2 linked regions of the Ovis aries genome follow. The main gene of each other region encodes a partner of the protein of the gene in region 2 in a complex. Links are inferred from orthologs where the notes say so. Each region holds a gene or a part of one and is shown on either strand. Other genes may lie near its edges.

The links. Proteins that work in one complex are often made in the same cells at the same time.
Region 1: the proteins of RANBP9 (region 2) and ARMC8 are in contact, whole or in part, in a cryo-EM structure (PDB 7NSC), measured with the Homo sapiens proteins. The link is inferred for Ovis aries from reciprocal best matches to the Homo sapiens genes RANBP9 and ARMC8. Residues at the interface, in NP_005484.2 of Homo sapiens: Tyr271, Gly298, His299, Ser300, Leu301, Gly302, Ile303, Asp337, Asp340, Tyr341, Arg343, Glu344, Thr347; in NP_001350870.1 of Homo sapiens: Gln245, Arg246, Asp247, Val277, Leu278, Lys279, Ile317, Ile320, Thr321, Asp322, His323.

What each region holds. Positions count from the first base shown.
Region 1 is NC_056054.1:251,532,364-251,542,985, forward strand, and holds part of ARMC8 (armadillo repeat-containing protein 8), read right to left. Parts: intron 6,367-10,622; coding exon 6,295-6,366; intron 4,963-6,294; coding exon 4,820-4,962; intron 4,716-4,819; coding exon 4,618-4,715; intron 1,081-4,617; coding exon 988-1,080; intron 1-987. UniProt on the Homo sapiens protein: Component of the CTLH E3 ubiquitin-protein ligase complex that selectively accepts ubiquitin from UBE2H and mediates ubiquitination and subsequent proteasomal degradation of the transcription factor HBP1.
Region 2 is NC_056073.1:42,214,806-42,224,993, reverse strand, and holds the end of RANBP9 (ran-binding protein 9), read right to left. Parts: intron 6,643-10,188; coding exon 6,531-6,642; intron 4,220-6,530; coding exon 4,089-4,219; 3' UTR 3,225-4,088; downstream 1-3,224. Other genes in the region: NOL7 (nucleolar protein 7), read left to right, coding at 784-815, 1,199-1,280, 1,581-1,702, 1,784-1,861, 2,323-2,399. UniProt on the Homo sapiens protein: May act as scaffolding protein, and as adapter protein to couple membrane receptors to intracellular signaling pathways. Acts as a mediator of cell spreading and actin cytoskeleton rearrangement.

The DNA of each region.
Region 1 (10,622 bases), on a different chromosome or scaffold from region 2:
ACTAAACACCAAATAATTGCTATCAAAATCTGAATAACTGCTTAGGAAGTGGCAACAACTTAGAAGTTAGGATTTCAATCAATATTATTACCACCCTTTTTTTGCTTCTTAATAAATCAAGGAGAGAATTTCAAAACTTTAATGATAACTTTAAAGCTCAGAACACAAATGTTTTAGAAACCTCTTTCTTTATCTCCCCTGTCCAAAGTATGTAAATTTATTTCATATTGATACTAGTATATGCAAATTTGTAGATCAGTCTTAAAATGCTATTACAAATTTTACTTCCGGCTTGTATGTAAACAATACAAAATAAAAAAAAAATTTATAATTAGTGACAATACAGAGATCATCAGATCAGTTGTTTTCAAAGACACATGTTGTTGGTGTATCAGTAGGAAAATCAATATTGGATTTTAGTCTATTACTATTGTCACTGCTACATGGGTTTATATATGCTACAATGTTTCCTGAAGTTTAGTTATATTTAACTACCTAAACTGATGGATAATCCTGAACAGAGCTAGCAAATGCTACTTATCAGTCTAAAAGAAAGCTGAGTTCTGTTAGTGGCATGAGGGTGCTTGTAAATTATAAAAATGTCTTGCATACAGGGTATTTGCTGCAGCACTGACTGCACAAGACTGGAAATAAGCTAACTGCCCAATGGTAGAAAAAAAGGTGAATAAATTATTGTACATCTATACAAAAAAATACTATTCATCTGTTTTTTTAAAAAAGAAAGAGGAAGCTCCTTATGTACTGATATGGAATATCCCTCAAAATGTTAAGTAAAAAATGCAAGGTACAGAACAGTATGTATGGTCTGTTACTATTTATGTCAAAAAAAAAAAGAGGAGAAATTATATACATACATAGGTCTGCTTATATGTGTACAGATTAGCTCCAGGAGGACATACCAAGAAGGCACATCTCCTGAGGGCATACAAGTATTTATATTACAGAGAACATTATCCTGGTTCTTACTTTACAGCAGTGTGAGAAGATCTGACAGATATACTCCTGGGTGTAGCGGGACCTGCTAAGCAGCGCCATGAGGTGCGGTATCACCGTGGCATCCTGGAGTGAAAGGGAAGAAGAGCAGAGCAACAGGGAACTCAGACTCGGTGAGTGTCTTTAACACTGATTTCCAAGGACAGGTACGCATGTAAGCATCTTTTTTTTTTTTTTTAATTTTAAAATCTTTAATTCTTACATGCGTTCCCAAACATGACCCCCCCTCCCACCTCCCTCCCCACAACATCTCTCTGGGTCATCCCCATGCACCAGCCCCAAGCATGCTGCACCCTACGTCAGACATGGACTGGCGATTCAATTCTTACATGATAGTATGCATGTTAGAATTCCCATTCTCCCAAATCATCCCACCCTCTCCCTCTCCCTCTGAGTCCAAAAGTCCATTATACACATCTGTGTCTTTTTTCCTGTCTTGCATACAGGGTCGTCATAAGCCTCTTATCTTAATGACAGTAAATCAAGTCTGTTTAAGGAACACAGCAACACAAAAGCAACATGTAATCAAAACTGTTTAGGCAAAGGACAAGGAAAGGGGCTTCAATTTTCATGCTTGATAATAATATAAAAGAACAGGAAATTCTCAATTTCTCTCCCATAAACATCCCCACAATAAAACAAGATCATTTCAATAAGACTTGACATAATCTATTCCAAAACCAAAATGTGACGTAATTAATGAGATAAATACTTACTACATAGCTTACAAGGAGGAATTACTGTATTAAAATAAAAGTTCACAATTTTGAAGTCTGAGATGTTTTGGTAAGTATCAGTAACAGATTAACATTTCTAATAACTGTAGTGAGCTAATTTCAGTCTTCACAAGACAAGACAGTTTATATAAAAGCAGCTTCTCACTTACAGCCCACTCTCTGCCTACTACTGACACTTCACAGCATACATGATGGTACAGAAGAAAGAAGAATCCACCCAATCTGCCTCAGGGCTCTCAAAAAATCTCCTCTTTCATGATTTAAACACTGAGAGGATATTTGGCCCAAACCACAGATGGAAAAGGAGACTTAGCTCGAGTGCCCTAGTCAGTGCTGTCGTAAGTCCTGCAGCAATGCTCTTCAGATACGAACGCGCATTGCATGTATGTTCTCAGGGGATACTCTGTATGTATAGACTGATTCTGTAGGTCTGAAGTACGACTTATGATTTGGCATTCTATCAAACTCCCAACTAATGGTTGATGTTGCTGGTCCACAGACCACACTTTGACAAAAGACAACAGAGGGCAAGGAAGGAAACTTAAAAGAATACCACTGTTGGGATAAACAAGGTTTGGGCAAGATACATAAAAGCTAAGTAGGAAAATAGTAGGCTATTTTTGTAGAAGATGCCTACAAATAGAATCTTTTCCCCTTGCTTGTTATAACCCTGTGTTGTCATAAGCAGTTTAAACACAAAATGAGGGAATTTCCTGGCAGTCCAGTGGTTATGACTCAGGGTGTTCACTACTGTGGGCCCAACGTTCAATCCCTGGCCAGGGAACTAAGATACTGCAAGCTGCTGTGTTACATATCTGCAGTTTCTGGTTGATTAAACAAGGCAAAGTACAGTTACATAATTTCCCCCAAAGTCATTCATCTTATAAACAATTTCAAACTACACATTCTGCCCTCTTCAACAGGATTCTGCGCTCCTTAGTTTAGTGCCTGAGTTGCTATGGCAGCTGGTCTCTATACAATCCTACCCACAGATGTCAGTTAGTTACACTGAAATACTACTCTCTGTCATTATCCCATCCAGCATTTTTTAGAGTCTCCACGGTCTCTGAGGCATAAAATTGTTTCATAATTTAGGTATCCTATGAAAGTCCCTTAAGTCCCTGTGTCTTAATTTTTCTTGCAAAAAGAAGCTAAGTTGGTATATAGCAGCATTCTCCAAATTACGAACCACAATCCATTAGCAGATCATGAAATCAATTTAGAGAGAGAGAAGGAAGGAGCTGAGTAAGTTGACCAGGGTCAATTCCTTCCCCAATACTGGGCTGAGGGTTGGGGAAAAACTTCTAGGGTAAAGAAGATGAGTGATTGGCTTAATTTCTTTGTAAAAATGACAATCGGAAATCCTTAAGTAAACAGACTGATACTCAGATGGAGAGTTCTATATAGAATGCTGTGAGAATGCTTCCTCAATTTAGAAATGCTTACAGTAAACCAGTGGTTCTCAGAGAGTGGACCAGTAGCATCTGGTTTACCAGATACTAAAGTTTACCAGTTACTGGCAAACTTGTTAGAAATGCATATTCTCAGGCCCCATCCCACACTGACTGAATTAGAAACTCTGGAGGTAGGGGTCCAGGATTCTGTGTTTAATACGCTCTCCAGGTAATTTCGGTCCCTGCTCAAGTTTGAGAACCATTGTGGTAAATGGTCTATGGATTTATGAGCCATGGTTCCCCAAAGAATGTTACACAAATCCTCAAGGTATAAAATCAAGATGCTTCATAATTTAGCTCCCTGCTGTGTGAGATGACCCACAAGCCTCATTTACAGACCTTAGGCATCATTACAGGCCAGAGGAGCAAGTGTCTAATATAGGAAAAACAAACTCTGGAGGCACATGACATGTCCCTCTCCCTGCCTGCTTTGCCTATGCCTCTTGACTACTTATATTTTTGAAGTATTTGTAAAACATGACCCTGGACAAGATCTCCAATACATATGTGTCCACTTTGAAACTATGATTCTGCATCTCAGCTCAGAGAATCACAACCAGCATTTTTTAAAATGAAAAAGGATAAAATAGAAGTCAGAAGGCACCACATTTATGCAATTGTTTTGTGAAGACTATCTCAAGATATTCCCACCACCACTCTGCGCCCCCACCTCCCACCCCCCACACACAGTGTGGCCGTAGAAAATATAATTCTACTGTGAATTGTGGATAAGAGAGTTTAAAAAATACTAGCCTTGATAAATTTATTAAGAAAGCCCCAGATAAGCAACAGATAAAAATACACTCTAATAATCCCTGAAGTTTCTGAAAACCAATGAATGACTCTGAAGATCTTTAGATTCTCTCACATGTATTCTCTGATCCTAGCCTGGTAAGTAAGCCTCTAACAAGTGCTTCTGGTTCACCTTTTCAGCTGAAATGAACAATGATTCCCTTCCTGCATTAAACTATTCTGTCCACTGTCCTGCATATTCTCTTTTTCAAAGATGTGCCCTAGAACAGCTTCTTTTCTCTACACTTCTTGAAATCTTATCCATTATTCAAGATCAGGTCAAATTCTACCTTCTCCATAAAGCCTCCTCTACCAGATTTAACCTATAGTGAGTGCATTAAATGTGTTTCCTTTTAAGAAATTAAGAAAGGTCTTTACAAAACAAAAAACAACAAAAAACCCCAGCTTATAAATTTCTCAAGGTCTGGGACTACCTTTCACTGCTTTACAAAGCCTAGAACATTTGATATTTGCAAATTAGCAATTCAAATATTTCTTGAGACTTTTCTATAACATAGTTATCACAGCTAAGATCAGTTATGAGATGCTAAGCTAAGTAAATCAGAAGTATGCTGTTAGTAAAAATGTAACTTGATGATTGAAAAACACCTAAAACTCACTGTATACAGTAGTTCCTCTGGAGTGACGGGACTGGTGAAGATGGTGCGCAGGCATCGGAGGCAAGCTTCAATGAACTTCAGGTCTGGGGACAGTAGTCCTGTTAAGAGAAAACAGATTTGAGACTCATGCTTCCAACTTATATTTAAAACGCTGCAAACTGATTCTACTTTTTACCTGTATAAAAATGACTTCCTTACATACCTTGCAGTAAGGCAGGGATAATATGGCAATCTAGTAGAGACTTAACATTGTTTTCAGTACCCATAGCAAGACTTCCCAATACCACTGCACATTCAGTTTTCAATTCTGTGCTTGAGGTTTCTTGCTGAAGCAAGTACAATAATCTAAAAAGAAAGAACTTGATAAACAGAAGAGACTAAAAAACTTAAAAGTAAACATTAGCTAAAAGTAATGTTACAGAAAAGGCTACCAATACATCCCACACACTGAAAATATGGTAGGTGAGTTTACAGGCTGCTAGGAAATGGTCATATCTTTATATAAGCTGTTAATTTAATAAAGGAATATCGGCAGCGGGGAGAACCAAAAGAGATTTTCTTCTTTGTGAACAACAGAATTATCATACAATCTTAGTGTCAGAACTTCAAAATCTGAGAGTTGTCCACAAGCGATGTCCTGTAGAAACAGCCAGCACGACAGTCCACATTATCTGACACTTCAAGATATGAAGATTCCCAAAGCCAAGTGCTGGTGGATCTTAAGGACCCTGAATATCCACTACCACAGTTCAGAGATCACAGACATCTAGCCTAGAGGGAATACTCAGAGTCCTTGTGCAGCTCTTCAAACAAGGGAAGTTCTCTTCTTTCTCTGATTCTCCTATTTGGGGCATCAAAAGATCCTATTCTATTCTAGGCTAGCCTGTCAAAAAACTACTCCCCAAATTCCAATTGTCTACAACATATGACTATCTCCTTTATGTTCTAAGGTACATCCTTCATGCTCCCTAAAGCATATTTATATATACTGAGCACTAGTCCCCTAAGAAAGGCTGCTGACAGCTTTACAGTTACCAATGGTTGATTATAATAAAAACAACAAAACCATTAAACAATCCTACATTAAAAGACACGAAAGAAAAAAGAAGAAAGAAAAGCAAGACATTTAAAAATTCTGAATGAAAAATTTGTAACTGCACATAAAACTTAATTCTGGGTAGCAAAGGCAAAGAAGCAGTTAAACAATTATCACTGTCTGCCAAAAAGAAGCTTAATAGCTTCATCAGAAGACATGAAACTTTCTATGTTAATTTAAAAGCCAGCAAATTCTAAAAAGCAGGGTCAAAAAATAAATTTTTTTTTTAGTTTCAAAAAAGGTTTTGAGAATCCTAAGAAATTATTATCCCATCATATAAAAGTTGCCAGAGCTCTGAGGAGACCGGGAAGAATCAGGATGGTGTACATTGCTTATTTACCCAACGTGTCCTTTTATGGCAGGGTCAATGATCTTCCCAAACCTGTAAAAAGTATTCATATATTCCACTCCTTGGTATCTTAATTTTTTAAAAGAGATGCTTCATATACTTCAAAGCATTTATTAAAAAAAAAAAAAAGTAGGACAGACAATACAGAAAAAAGAAGGGTCTTATGACTGAGAATGAGAACACATCTGAAACTTCATATGAATAGCAGAAAAGGGGATAGTAGCAAACTTACCTTGGAACAGCTCCTAAAACAATGAGGTTGGCTTTCTGCTTGTTGTTTCCAATTACAGCATTTTTCATGTCTCTGAATTCAAGGAAAAGAGAAAAGGGTAAGATGTGTTGAGATACTAATTTATCTTTATTTTACAGCATCTTGGATTGTCAAGTACGGATGTTAAGTGACAAAGTAAAACCCTGACACTTCTCTGCTTGGAGTGCTAAAGAGACGGGACAGAGACAGGGCTGTGCAACCAGGGGCTATGAAACAGGAGGGCAGCAGTGGAGGGGGAGTGAGAGACAGCCTGAGAATCAGCAAAAGACTTTCAATACAAAGAAAGCCGAGTTCTTCAAAAAAAAGACCACCGATCCTTTGAATAATAAGAAATACAGGCTATCTTCTCATGCATAGCTCTGGGAGTAGGCAGTAAAAGCAGCCAGCCCAAGGAATAGACCTGACCTTGTTTCAGGGACCATGACTTTACTTTCCTCTTTTTCTGACTTCCTTGGACCGAATATTCCTGTGATTCCATTTTATCTCCTTTATTGTCAAACTAGCTGTACTTCTTTGGGTTTTGTTTTGTTGTTTTGTAATGGTAGATTTACAGTTTACAATATGTACCTTTTAACTTATCACAGTCTTCAAGGTATAGTGTCCTACTTCATGTGAACTGTAAGAGCCTTGCAAACATACTTCCATCTTCCCATTCATTCTTTGACCTGCTGTTATACATCTTTAAACTAGTTAGAAACAACATGATATATTGCACTATTTTTTGGGGGGGGGGGCTGCATCATGAGGTTTGTGGGATTTTAGTTTCCCCACCAGGGATTGGACCCCTGCAGTGAAAGTACAGAGTCCTAACCCCTGGGCAGCCAGGGAATTTTCTATATTGTACAATTTTTGCTTAAACAGTCACTTTTAAGGAGATTAAAAAATACAAAAACATCTTTTATTTAAAATTTAAAGATATTTACTTATTTGGCTGCACCAGGTCTTAGTTGTGGCATGTGAGATCAAGTTCCCTGAACAGGTATTGAACCACAGCCCCCCTGCATTGGGAGTAGGGAGTCTTAGCCACTGGACCACCAGGGAAGTCCCAGAAAATATCTTTTATATTTCCCATTTATTCACCAGTATTTTTTACTCTTGCTACACTCAGATCTCCATTTCTCTGGGAGCGAAACTCTTTTCCACAATAAGAGTATCTCTATCAATGACCAGTTGGTTCACAAACACATGGTTGTTCTCAAAGGACAGGCAAAGAAAAAATAAATAGCTCAAAATAAGCCTAGTACTTGGAGAAGGAAATGGCAAGCCACTCCAGTATTCTTGCCTAGAGAATCCTGTGGATGGAGGAGCCTGGTGGGCTGCTGTCCATTGGGTCGCACAGAGTCGGACACGACTGAAGCGACTTAGCAGCAGCAGCAGCAAGCCCAGTACTAATAAAATGTTTAATAAAAAAAAAAAAGGTAATTGGTCAGTAGTGCTATCTTAATATAAAAACACTATGGTTCTCAAACCTTCTTCTTCTTGTGGAAGAAGGCATCAGAGCCTCCCAGGGACATTTCAGATGTTTATGAAGATGTCTGAAAATTTCTGGCCATAGTTTTAAAACAGAAAGCAGTTTTTGCACAATCTTCAAGAAAACTGTATTTTTCAGTATTGTACCTGCTTTGTAAATAAAAGGGAGATTATACTTTTTATTAAAAGTTACTTCATTTTGGAAAATCAAATAAGTGGCACTCATGGTAGATGGGGTCATCAATACCATACCAATATCAGCCCACAGTTTCAGCTCTTGCTTTCATACCTCATTAAGTTTTCTAACATGTTCATGCTTAAGCACTAACATATTGAAACATTATAAGTTATCTTTCTTTCATATGCCAAAATACATTCCCCTAGTTACTTGCTGAGCATCTCTCCTAACTTCTCTTAGGTGGCAGAGCTCTACAACATAGAAATTTTTTGTCAACCATTGAAATTATACTCCTAAAAAAGTCCTGTAATTGGCAAACTATGATCTTATAGAAAAACAGGATAGAAAACCAGGGGGAAAGGTTGGGGGGTGGAGGTGGAGAGGGAGTTATTAAAATCAATGACTTCATGTTATTGTCAGCTTGTGTTTCCAACACCAGCCAATTTCATCAGCATTAAAAACCCTGGTAACGATAATACCCCTCTCCTTAATTATCTTTTTTGATTATTATAGGAAAGTGCTGTTATGATGTGGTGGTCTGCTGAAAGCTGATCCTCCCCATAAGAATAGCATTTTCACCAGTCTTGAGCCAAACACTGTACTTATTAGGGTTCTTCCTTTAGCTCAGTGCTTGAGGGCCTTCTCTCTCTCTCTCTTTCTCTCTCTCTCTCTTTAGAATATCCCTCAGATCTTCCATATGATTTACAGCAGATAAGCAGGAGTATTTTGTTCATTTGTTTGCTCATGAGGACTAAATTGAATGAAGCTTACTATGGTTTTAACCAAGCTCTGATATATGATTTTAAAATTCATGTGATATCGAAGCTTCACTGAGCAAAACACAATTAATGAGAGACTGTACATCTAGGCTCCTGCCTCCTTATAGATGCCTGCTGTTTTCTTAGAGACTGACTTCCCAACTGTCGGCTTATAGACTCTAACCTAGCAGTCTGTCATTTTCCTTCTTCTTCTCTTCTCTTAATGTGTTCTGCCTATACTAACGCAGCATACTCATGCATCCGGGAGATTACTGAAAGTTTATTTTTGCCAGGTGCCATTCTAGAGGCTTTCTATTATGGAACTTCTAATTCTAACATTTTCCCAGATTTCTCCCCATTCTTCCTAAACTGAGCAGAAATGAATGACCCTAACCTTGTAAATACAACCCAAATATCTGAAACCATGCCAGAGTAAATGTTTTTACAGACAAAAGCAAACAAAACTCCTCCAAAACCAATTTTCCAATTTCCTTACTAGTTTGAAAAATGGACATGACGGAGGCAGCTGGTAGTTATAAAGTAACTGCAGACTAAAGAGAACACAATTAATAAAAGGTACCAATGGGGCTTCTCTGGTGGTCCAGTGGTTGAGACTCTGCCAGCCAATACAGCAGACACGGGTTCGATGCCTGGTCTGGGAAGATCCCACATGCCATGGGGCAACCAAGCCCATGTGCCACAACTACTGAGCCTGCATGCTGCAACTACTGAAGCCTCTGCACCTAGAGCCTGTGGTCAGCAACAACAGAAGCCACTGCAATGAGAAGCCCACGCACTGCAATGAAGAGCAGTCTCTGTTCGCCACAATTAGGGAAAGCCCAAGTGCAACAATGAAGACTCAGTATAGCCAAAAAATGAATAAACAAATTTAAAAATAATTAAATGGACCAATGTCTAAAGAAAACAATTCTTGCTCTGGTTCTAACAAGTAAAATATTATCTATACTAAAGAAGAGATGTTAACGCCCTGCAAATAAATTCTATTTAGTTGTTAATATAAAAGGATAGCAGAAGATCATTTCTATTAAAGAGTTAAAAACTGCAAGAGACAATAATCAACACATATACTCATTTTTAGCAGACCTAAGTACAGTGATAGATTCAATTTCAGAGCCGGCCAAATGAAGCTTCTTTCAGTTTCCAGAGTGTAGCTATTCTCTCTCTCTCATTTCCTTATCATCCCCTCCCCTCCCTTATATCATTCCTTGGCTAACTTTACTCATCTTTCAGGTCTGAGCTTATATGTCAGTGTCATCCTCCAGGAAGCATGCCCTGACAACTCCCAGGTCTGGGTAGGTATCCTTTCTAGTGCTCTTTATCATAGCACACTCATTACTTTTTTCCTCTTCAGGGGCAAGAAACCAGTATGATCTGGAAATATCAGAAGTTACTATTAATGGATCACAAAACATACCATATAGAAATCCATATTTTTGTAAACTAGAAACACAATTATAAAGATGGGAGCACAACAAAACTATGCAAAACTTATACATTGCTTTGAAGTTTACAAAGCATTCCATACCTATTATTTAATCATCACAACCTTAAGTAATATTAACCTGATTTTACAGATGAGGAAGCTAAGACTCAGGTTTGGGGCACTTCTCAGAGCCCCATAATAAATAACAGAGCCATCAACCCATGTCTTTTATGCCAAGTGTTTTTTCCATCACCTCCAGCATATCAGGCATTCAGAACAAACTGACTGAAAAGATAAAAGAATTCAGTAACTGTATTTCTTTTTTCTCCTATCTTTCAATTTATATAAAATAAAAGCCTATCTTTTAGTCAAAAACATCCTTTTCCTAGTAGATCAAAAAAATATAATCTCATGTCCACTACTCTTTAATACTGATGGT
Region 2 (10,188 bases):
TTTCATTTAGTAGCTTTGCCATCCACCGTATGTTTAAAGTTCCCCTTTCTCCTCTGTGCTATGGCATCAGGTTCTATACTGTACTAAATTTAGATTAAATATTTGCTATTTTTTTTCCTGTTCCCCTTTGTCTCCTCTTTTTGCTTTCAGTTTAGCTTAGCCCTGCTAGAACAGTGGTTCTTTTTCCGTAGGAGAGCTTTTCCAAAGTTACTCAGTTTCTGAATACATCGTGGTGGCAAAGTCCCTTTCATCTTTGAAAACCAAGTTGTCACCTGTCCCTTCTTATTCCCTCTACCCCATCACTGCTCCCGCCGATTAGCTTTTCCACTTCTGTATAGACATCTCACTGTGTTCTGGCCTTTGACTCTCCATTAGACCACACTTGTTGAGACTACCATTGTTTGTCTCCATTCTTGTGTCTGAAGTGTTCAGTTAATCCTTTCAGCTCTCTCCACAGGCCTACCACCTTTCACTTCATGTTTCAATGTATTACATAATTCTTAAATACTTTTTACTCCATCAACCACAACAGTCTGCTTCTTTGGAAGCCTGCTAATGTACTTTCAGATTTTAAATTCTGATCCTACAAGCCTAGTATAGTTTGTTGATTGGGAGTTGTTGACAGTGCATTGGGGAGTGACTTTAAGGATGCTCAGTAAAAATTGAGAGTGGTGGTAGTAAAAGAGGGTTATCTTATTTGTAAAACCAGCTGAAATTTTGTGGTAACCTGAGTCATCGTTGCTGTCTGCTATCCCAATCAGTGTTTTGCTTGTTCTTCCTTAGTGTGAAGAAATCACCGGGAAAGTTGAAAGAAGGTATGAACTATTTACGTAACCTCTCATTAAGTGTCAAGGGCATTTGCTGGTATTTGCAAATGTTGTTGACCCTGAGAAGGAGCATGGGAACAGGCCTGGTGGGCTTTAGCTTGTTTCTTTTTTCAAAAAAATTATTTATTTGGCTCTGCCGGGTCTTAGTTGTGGCATGCACATCTGTTAGTCTTGGCCTGTGGGATCTAGTTCTCCCAGTAGGGCCTGAACCTAAGCCCCCTGCGCTGGGAGCACAGAGCCTTAAATTTTAGCTTATTTTGTACTGTCACATACTCATTGGTGTGTAGTGGTTATTTAAAGTAAACTCCAGCATACAGTCTTGATTTATTTGTGCACAAATGCTAATGAGAAATATTAACTCAATTTTTTAGTTAATTTGCAAAAGAAAAATGAAGAACGAGGAAAAGGAAGTGACTCTAAGAAAGCTAAAGTGCAGAAAGTACAGACTGTTGGGTAAGAAGTCGTCTTTGTGTGTAGGATGTAGAGGTGACCTTTGAGGGGGGTATACCTCAATTAGTAGCGGTTTCAGATTGGATCCTCTGTGGGAAATTTTGGGTATTTATATTTAAAAGTATTTGCTCTACTAAAATGTAAACGTTAGTTGTAAAATAGCCCTGTAATTTTATCATCTAACCTGTGCTTACACACAATTAGGATTTGGGGATTTTTCTCCACTATTTGAATCAACTAACAGAAATACTTTACTTTGAAAATAAGTATGGCCTCATTTTTACCTTTTGTATTGATCACCAGCCAGAATAAAAGCTACATGGCTGTAAGGCTAAAAGATCAAGATTTGAGAGATTCAAGGCAAGAAGCTGCCAAAGCCTTCATACAGAATTGTTTATATGGTCCTGGAACCAACAGAACTACTGGTAATTTCCTTACAGACTGTTTTTTCTTCCTTTTCTAACTGTGAATTAAACCAAAAAATGACAAATAATCCTCTTTCCTAGTAAACAAGTTCCTGTCTCTTGAAAACAAGAGGTTACCGATGAAAAAGGCTGCAGCCCAGTTTTTGAATAATACTTGGGGTAAGATTTGGCTTTATTCTCTTGAATCTGAGTTTTATATATTGAACAATGTTTCTTGTTAAGGAGCTGGTAGATACTCATGACGTATCTTTTTTTAAGTGGCTTCTGTTACTGTTTTAAAGTTGCTTAGAGAGCAGGTCAGTGTAGTTTATTTGTGCATGTGTGCTCAGCTGTGTCCACCTCTTGTGACCCCAGGGCCTGTAGCTCGCCAGGCTCTTCTGTCCATGGGATTCTCCAGGCAAGAACACTGGAGTGGGTTGCCATGCCCTCCACCAGGGGATCTTCCCAACCCAGGGATTGAACTCATGTCTCTGGCATTGCAGTGAGATTCTTCTACCATTGAGCCACCAGGAAAGCCCAGTATATGTGTACATATAGCAACTTTTAATTATGTAGAAAATTTGTGAATTGTTTCTTGGGAATTTTATTTATTCTTAACTGCACAAAACTTTTTATTCTAGGATCTCAGAGAAAACAAAATGCCAAGAGGTTTACCAAACGTTGGATGGTCAGAAAGATGAAAACTCCTAAGACATAAATCAAAGCTAGATGAAGAACGAGTACTTTGTATGTATAGAACTTAGTTATTTAAAGAATGTAATTTTTCTGGGGAAAAAAAAAAATAAATCACTTACAAATCCTTCTGAAGAGTCATTTTAAGAATCTCAAGTCTCTCAGGGGCAGTACCTAGTCACACTTCATCCACCTGGCGTATAACCGTGCCTCCTAGTCTTTGAGCATCCTGGAAGCAGCAGTTTAAAAGGACTTGTTTTCCTTTTTTTTTTCCTGTTTTTCCATTTTATTGACCACAAGCAGTACCCACACCAGGAGGGCACCTCTGCTACCGTCCGTCCAACCCCCACCCCCGGTATGGCAGTAAAAGTCTCTAACTGAAGCTCTCTGATGTGTTTGTCTCAGGTATTTTGGTGCCACTGATGAGACTCTCACAGAATATGTGGAAGAGTATCCAAGCGTAGATAATTGTTCTTTTAAAAGAAGGTTTAAGACTCAGTGTACAGCCAACAGACACCTTTGCCAAACCAAAGGATATGGTCATTCTGTTGAAGAGCTTGTTTATATTTTACTTTTAACCAGTTTGGGGGTTTGCTTTAAAACTGGCAAGTCACACACCATATGATGATCATGAAAATAAGATCGACTCCCTGCTTTCTGCATCATCTATAGCATCAGGTTTGGCCCTGATCCAGGGAGGCCAGTAAATGCAAGGCAGTCTTGGGTTGCAGAGCTCAGATTTATAGTAGCAACCACTCATTCTAACTTGTTCTAACTTTACTTGTTCTAACTTTATATTAATCATAAGTATGCAGGTACCTAATGTATAAATTCAACTGACACTCTGGTATCTGTAGAAGTAAATTTTTAATGGCTGGTTAATTATATCACTACATTTTTATTGCAATATAGTACTCATTTTAAGCACTTAAAAATGGAAGGTGTACAAAGATTAAATTAAGACACAGTAAATTGACTAAATATTTGGTTTTTATATAAATAAAGGTCATAACCACACTGTTGACATGTAATACTGTTATAATACAACAGTTCAACTTGTGAGTCTACAACAGAAGTCATCTGTAGTTAAACAGGAAACAAAGTTGAGAAAGACCATGTTAAAACAAAACTACTGGGACTAACAGGTCGGGATTGTAAGTAGCAACAAACATATTCACTCAGCTCCTGAGTATTTCAAGTTTTACAGTACACATTAAAAATGATTTCTTCCATCAACACTATAAATTCAAACTGTCAGATGTTTATGCATTTTGCAAGTTACACTGATTGAATGCTTATATGGGAGCGGGGGTCAGAATACCTCCCAATTTGAAGTTTACATCACCCACATGCTAACACAAACACAACTTGTTCCGTTTCCTTCCCCCCTCTCTCCCCCCAACAACGAAGGCAGGACTTTTTGGTTTCTTTTAGGTAATTGTTTTAGAGGATTTGTGATGATCAATTTGAATGTCTGGAATTCAGTAATATTCAACTCTTAGACAACTAAGAGGCTAAAGATGGAAAATAATTGCTCCTAACACTAAGTTAGAAAATCATTTGCATCATGCTGTAAACTAGGAAGCAATGTAAAGCGACAAAAACCTGTCCCCAGTACATAATTAAAAAAATCTAAGTTTCAGATCAGCAGAGCTGGTCTACTTCCATGTCGTCTATATGCCGCAATGTAAGTGTGAGCTCCGAAAATGCATAGCTAATGTAGGTAGTCGTCCACTGTGGCAAAAGCACAGGATCCGATTCCTGATCGAGCCATCAGTCCCAGACACTGGGTGGCCTGTCCCATGGCTAGGGCGAGTGGAGGTTGCTTTGGCAGATTGTGGGTTTCTGTGGAAAAATGATTAAAAGTGGAAACGCCAATTAGCAAGACATTTTAAACAGCATCTCTCAATCAGGAAAACACTGCATTGCTTACAAAATTACCAATGCCTGTACTGCACTTAACAAGCTAAGTAGCAAAGGTGGTTTTTAAGCAAACAATACCTTGGACATTACTTTGACAAGGTACTATATGGTCACTGGGTTTTCAAGTAGTAGTAAATTCTTGCAGAACTAAGACTGTTAGATATTCAAAAAATTTACTTCCATATTTACTATGATGGGAATGATGTAATTTCTTAACTAATGTTTATCTAATGTTGACATTACCAGAAAAAAAGGCACCAGGCGTTCAGTAAAGTTTTACTGATGGATTCTTCATCTTTCTGGGGATACGGCCCAACAGAGGCCACCTACTCCTCTCCAGGGCACAGTGGTGAATGCTATTTGGGTTGGTAAGCACATTGTTACACTTTTACTTTGGCCAAGGGAGGCACATCAATTATAACTGTCCTTTAGACTTTTTTGGAATACAAAACTTGCAGGCCTCACATACAGTAATGTAACTTGAAGCCCCATTGAGACGTGAAGCTCTACAACACAGCACAGTATACAAATACGCACCCCCCCCCCCCAGCAGTGTAAGTCTGGTCATTCCTTTTGCAGGAACTACATATAGTTAATGAATTTAAGCACTATTTGTAGTTGAACTACATAATTTAGGGCACAATATGTAAGACTATATATATATCTCCTGGATAGTGGTCCTAAGCAATTGACTACTTGAAATTTTAATTCCCCTGGAGAACATAAGATTCTTAACTGTCACATGAAAACTGGTCACTTTTCTTCAAAAATTCTGAATCTGAGCGTTACCCAGATAGAAAGCAATTAGGACTTCATGATTACCTATAATGTAGTCATTTCAAAAAGACAGTTACAGTAAACTATAATTTGCCCTACAATTCTAGCACTGCTACTGAGTATACTTATTTTTTATCAGTAGAACTAAATTAATTTTGAATAACCAAAGCAACATATTAACCAAAGTTCACATCATTATATACAAATCCTAAATGTGAGAAAATTATAACAATACCAATTCCTATGCCCAAACTTCACTATTAAGCCACAACACAATTAATTAATAATGAACTTTATCAGAGAAAAGAAGTAAGGCCCCAATGTCAGAACTCTAAATTGCTCCCCTGGCTTTGGCTCCAGTCTCCTGCCTGCACACTGACACTGTGCACGGCCCTCATCTAAGAGTGTCTCACATGTTCCTCAAAGCTCCCAAGCCTAATGGCCAAACAGCACACAACAGACTTTAAACTGGTAGCTCCCATTTTTCTTGAGGAATTACATTCTAAAATGGAAGGTGAAAAGTCACTCATCCAAATTCCCTTTGAAAAAAAATGCCCAGGTATTAAAATGTCATTTTATGTAAATAATCAACCCTATGTAGTTTATACTGGAGAAGGCAATGACACCCCACTCCAGTACTCTTGCCTGGAAAATCCTATGGACGGAGGAGCCTGGTGGGCTGCAGTCCATGGGGTCACTTAAGAGTTGGATACAACTGAGCGACTTCACTTTCACTTTTCATTTTCATGCATTGGAGAAGGAAATGGCAACCCACTCCAGTGTTCCTGCCTGGAGAATCCCAGGGACGGGGGAGCCTGGTGGGCTGCCGTCTATGGGGTCGCACAGAGTCGGACACGACTGAAGCGACTCAGCAGCAGCAGCAGCATGTAGTTCATATATAAATGCATAAAACGTGCAGTTACTGAATTCATTTAAAGAGCATCTGTTCAGTTTATAAGCACCGCACTCTGCTCCCAAGGAATGGCTACCAGTTGGGACAGCAAGTCCCGTTTCCCACTTTGGGCTCCCCCTGGCTAAGCCTACATACTGCTGCCACCCCCCACACACCCTTTTTCACTTGCTAAGGGCATGTAGTTAAATCTTTAATGCAAACAGCCTGCGTCTCCAAGAGCTGGGGCTGACAGCACTGAAGAGCCCCCTGGAGGCCCCGAGTGATTCAGGCCAGGAATGCTGTGTCTACATTCACACAGACACTTGTTTTCCAGACTTGTTTTCTTGTATCACAAGATATACCCCAATGTACTGTTTTTATTCCATTGGAATCCATTTAATCGGGGACTGAGATAATAGGAATTTTTCTATACTGTGAGGTAATTTTTTTTTTTAATGTAGGAAACATTTTCCTCAAGATTTTACCAAAGGATAAATGCCAGCACAAATACTGTCTCAAATACTCAAGAGACTAGTTGAAGCTGTGCTTTCTGGCTTCACTTACCTAATATTGCACTGTTAAGAGCTGAGCACACAGGTTCTCTCTGAATTGGGTCAAGCTGATTTCCAACTGGGCTGTTCCAAGGATCTGAATAGGCTAGTAAACTGAATGCATCCTGTTGAAAACAGCAATTTGATTAAGTCAGATAGTTCAGTGTCTGCTCACTATGGCTTCAACTTGAGAGACAGGTAAAATACAACCTTAAGGCACTGAATTAACACTTCAACTCATTTACCCCTGTGATCTGAGACTGTTTTTTAACAACTAGATTATGCAGCAAAGTCTAATCTGTTTTCCTATTTTTTACAAACAGCCATTTTCACCATCCACCACTTATACCTACAAAACATACAGAACAGAAATAAAATGGAAAAAACTCATTCTTGTGGAATGGGCTACTACTGTTTAAGTTAAAGACAAAACATTCAGATGCTCTATAATTAATGACCACTGACAGCAATGTGACATTAAACGGATATGACCTGCCATATATTTTTTTAAAAAAATAGATGGGGGAAACTGGACACATCTTACTGGACGTCTTCTCAAACTCAGCGATCAAAACAACTAGCTCCCCTTCAAGAACACTCAGGCGTCCCAACCACCTTCAGACTGCCCCTCCTGAAGCAACTGACATCCAGCATTCTTTTCAGGTGATGGCTCTTGTCTTTCTGTGGGAGGATAGAACTACGGATGGAACTACGACGGTTTCAGACGTTGGCCTCAAGTGGAGCTGCATCACCAGTGTAGCCTTTGGCAAGAACAACCTTCCTAAGTATCAGTTTCATCATCTGTATAATGGGGATTGGGCTTCCCAGGTGGCTCAGTGGTAAAGAATCTGCTTGCCAGCGCAGGAGCCACAGAAGCTGCAGGTTCAATCCCTGGGTCAGGAAGATCCCCTAGAGGAGGAAATGGCAACGTGTATACTTGCTGGGATAATTCCAAGGACAGAGGAGCCTGGAGGGATACAGTCCATGGAGTTGCAAAGAGTCAGACACGACTGAGCGCAACCCCTCTTCCCCCAACATCACAGGGATTATAAGAGGTCCTATTTCAGTTTATGAGGACTCAATGAGCTAAAGAAATTAGCCATGTCAGTTCACGCTAATCTTTCAATGAATGATAAATTACTGTTTTGCCAGAAATCAACACCCCAATCCAGAATAATATGATGATGCAGATATAGACAGTTAGACATAGGACACCTTCCTAGTTCACATGGGGTACGTGGAGAAGTGCTGAGGGAACGAAATCAGTGAATTCAGTAACAACACTCAGAATGCCAGTCACTGAAATGTGGAAGACACATTCCTGAAGAATACTATCTTCCCAGGTAAACTGCTCCAGCATCCCTTGAGTCATCTTGCTAGTGGGAAAAGGCTTCCTGGTCAAGTTTGACCTTGCCCTTTCTCATCTGAATTGGCCTCTGTGTTGTGGCGACTAGAGAAGAGCTGCCCATTAAGCAGAGCTGTGCAGTCTGGGGTTGACAACAGGAATACATTAGGCTCCCCCATCCACTGTCCTACACGGCTTAGCATTTCATTCACATTAGACCTCTTGCCCCACCTATTAATGAAAGTTCTTTGAACAACTTATACTATTGTTCCCCTGCAGTCCTCAAGATGCTGGATACAAAGGGGTGAAAAAAAAAGGCTCATACACCTGTTGATTGCAAGACCTGCTTAACAGTACTGAAGATATCTTTTGCATCCCACAAAGCTAGTAGATTCTGGTTCTCTCCCAATCCAAATTTATTCATGGAGAAAGTACTAATATCCTGTTAAGCTAACTGATCAATCACTATTTCTAAGGACTGAGCTTTGCTCAAGACTTAATTCACCCACGTCCATCTCCTGACGTGCCACCCCTGTAGCGCACTTCAGCTCCGTTCAGTTGCTCAGTTGTGTCTAAGTCTTTGTGATCCCTATAGTGCAGATAAATTTTAAAAGACTGAAAAATCTGTCCAAGGAATAATCGCTACATAAAGCTTTAAGCACAAGACTATGCTCCTGAATCTACATCCTGACTTGCTCCCCGAAAGGTGGGATGCTGCAGTTCCAAATCTCCCATCAAGACCATTCTGTCTACACCTCCTGGTATTTAAAATATTAACAGAAAAAGATCGTGATGGTAGTAACTTATTGTGCGCTAACACTGTGCAAGGAAGTGTTTCAAGGGCTAACGTGAATCATCTTATTTAATCCTCACAATAACCTTAGGAGCCAGATGTTTATGCCCATCTTAGAAGCAAACTGAGGCCGTGAGAGGTTACCACCACAGCTAGTACTTCTGTACTTCTTTTAGTAAAAACAGTTTCTTTCAATTACCAATCTAAATATTACAAGCAAAAAAGTCTAAGATCTTGGCCCAGTATTTTCAGTACGATTGAACAAGTATTTATTGGACGAAGACGGGGATCACTAGGGCCTTGTCACTGTTGCAAGGACTCACAGTCCTGGGAGGAAGGCAGATGTGTGAGCAGTGGCGCGCCGGGTACTGCTTGCTAACAGTGTACTGTGTCACAAGCAGCAGCCGGAGACACAGGCTGAGAGGAGAGAAAAGCCCTGGATGGTGGGAGCCATGAGTATGAGCTTAGATCCTGAAACACCCTAGAAAACTCCCATTTTTTCCAGTGCAGCTATAGGAGCTGTTAGTCACTCAGCCGTGTCCCCACTCTCTGGGGCCCCAAGGGCTGTAGCCCGCCAGGCTCCCCTGTCCCTGGGAGTCTCCAGGCAAGAGGACTGGAGTGGGTTGCCATGCCCTCCTCCAGGGCCTCTCCCTGACCCCAGGACTGAACCCGTGACTCCTGCACTGGCAGCCTGGGTCTTTACCACTAGCACCACCTGGGAGCTGGAAATACATTTTTATGGCAGCAAGGACAACACAAAACAGGATAACCGCAATTACCAACCAGATGAAATATTAAGATATGCCCATGCGTTTAAGACAGAACACTGAAAATACCTGTAAGAGATCGTGGTATTATGGGTTACTTTTTATTTTAGAAAAAATTTACCTCAGTGGAAATAATTTCTGAGGGAAATATGACATTTAGGTAGGATTCTCAAACCATACTTATATTTGGCTTAAAATCAGTAGCAGTTTCTAAGCAGGATGCGCCTAAATGATTCAATTTCTGCTTCAGTTACTTGATTAAGAGCCACTTGCAGACTGGGGCTGCGTATTCTAACCTGACCCACCCAGCCCTCCAGCTTGACCCTCCGCTCTGCAAGGTTCAGTACACAGCTGTTGAACAATTTAGGGCGCTCTCTCGGGAGCCACTGGCGGACTCAGGCAGGTAAGCAAGAAAAACACAGACAATAGGAAGACAGGAAAGGACTGAGAAAATGAGAAAAAGGTCAAGCGAGCTCGGGTGCAGCAGGGACCCCCAACCCGTTTTCAGCCCAGCGGGGTGGCTACTCCAGGGGTCCGCCGTGTGCCTGCTACTCCATGACTGAGGAGAAGCAGAACACCCAGGCGCCCTATGATCACTTAGGTAAACCTCACCTCAGCTTTTACTAATTCCGTCTCTCTCTACATACGTATATATGCTTCAGAAGCTTGTGCAAATTAAAAAAAAAAAAAAAGATAAAAAAACCCACTTCAGCTACCCATGACCTGAAGTGAAGAATTAAAAAAAGCACTAATTTCTAATCCTTCT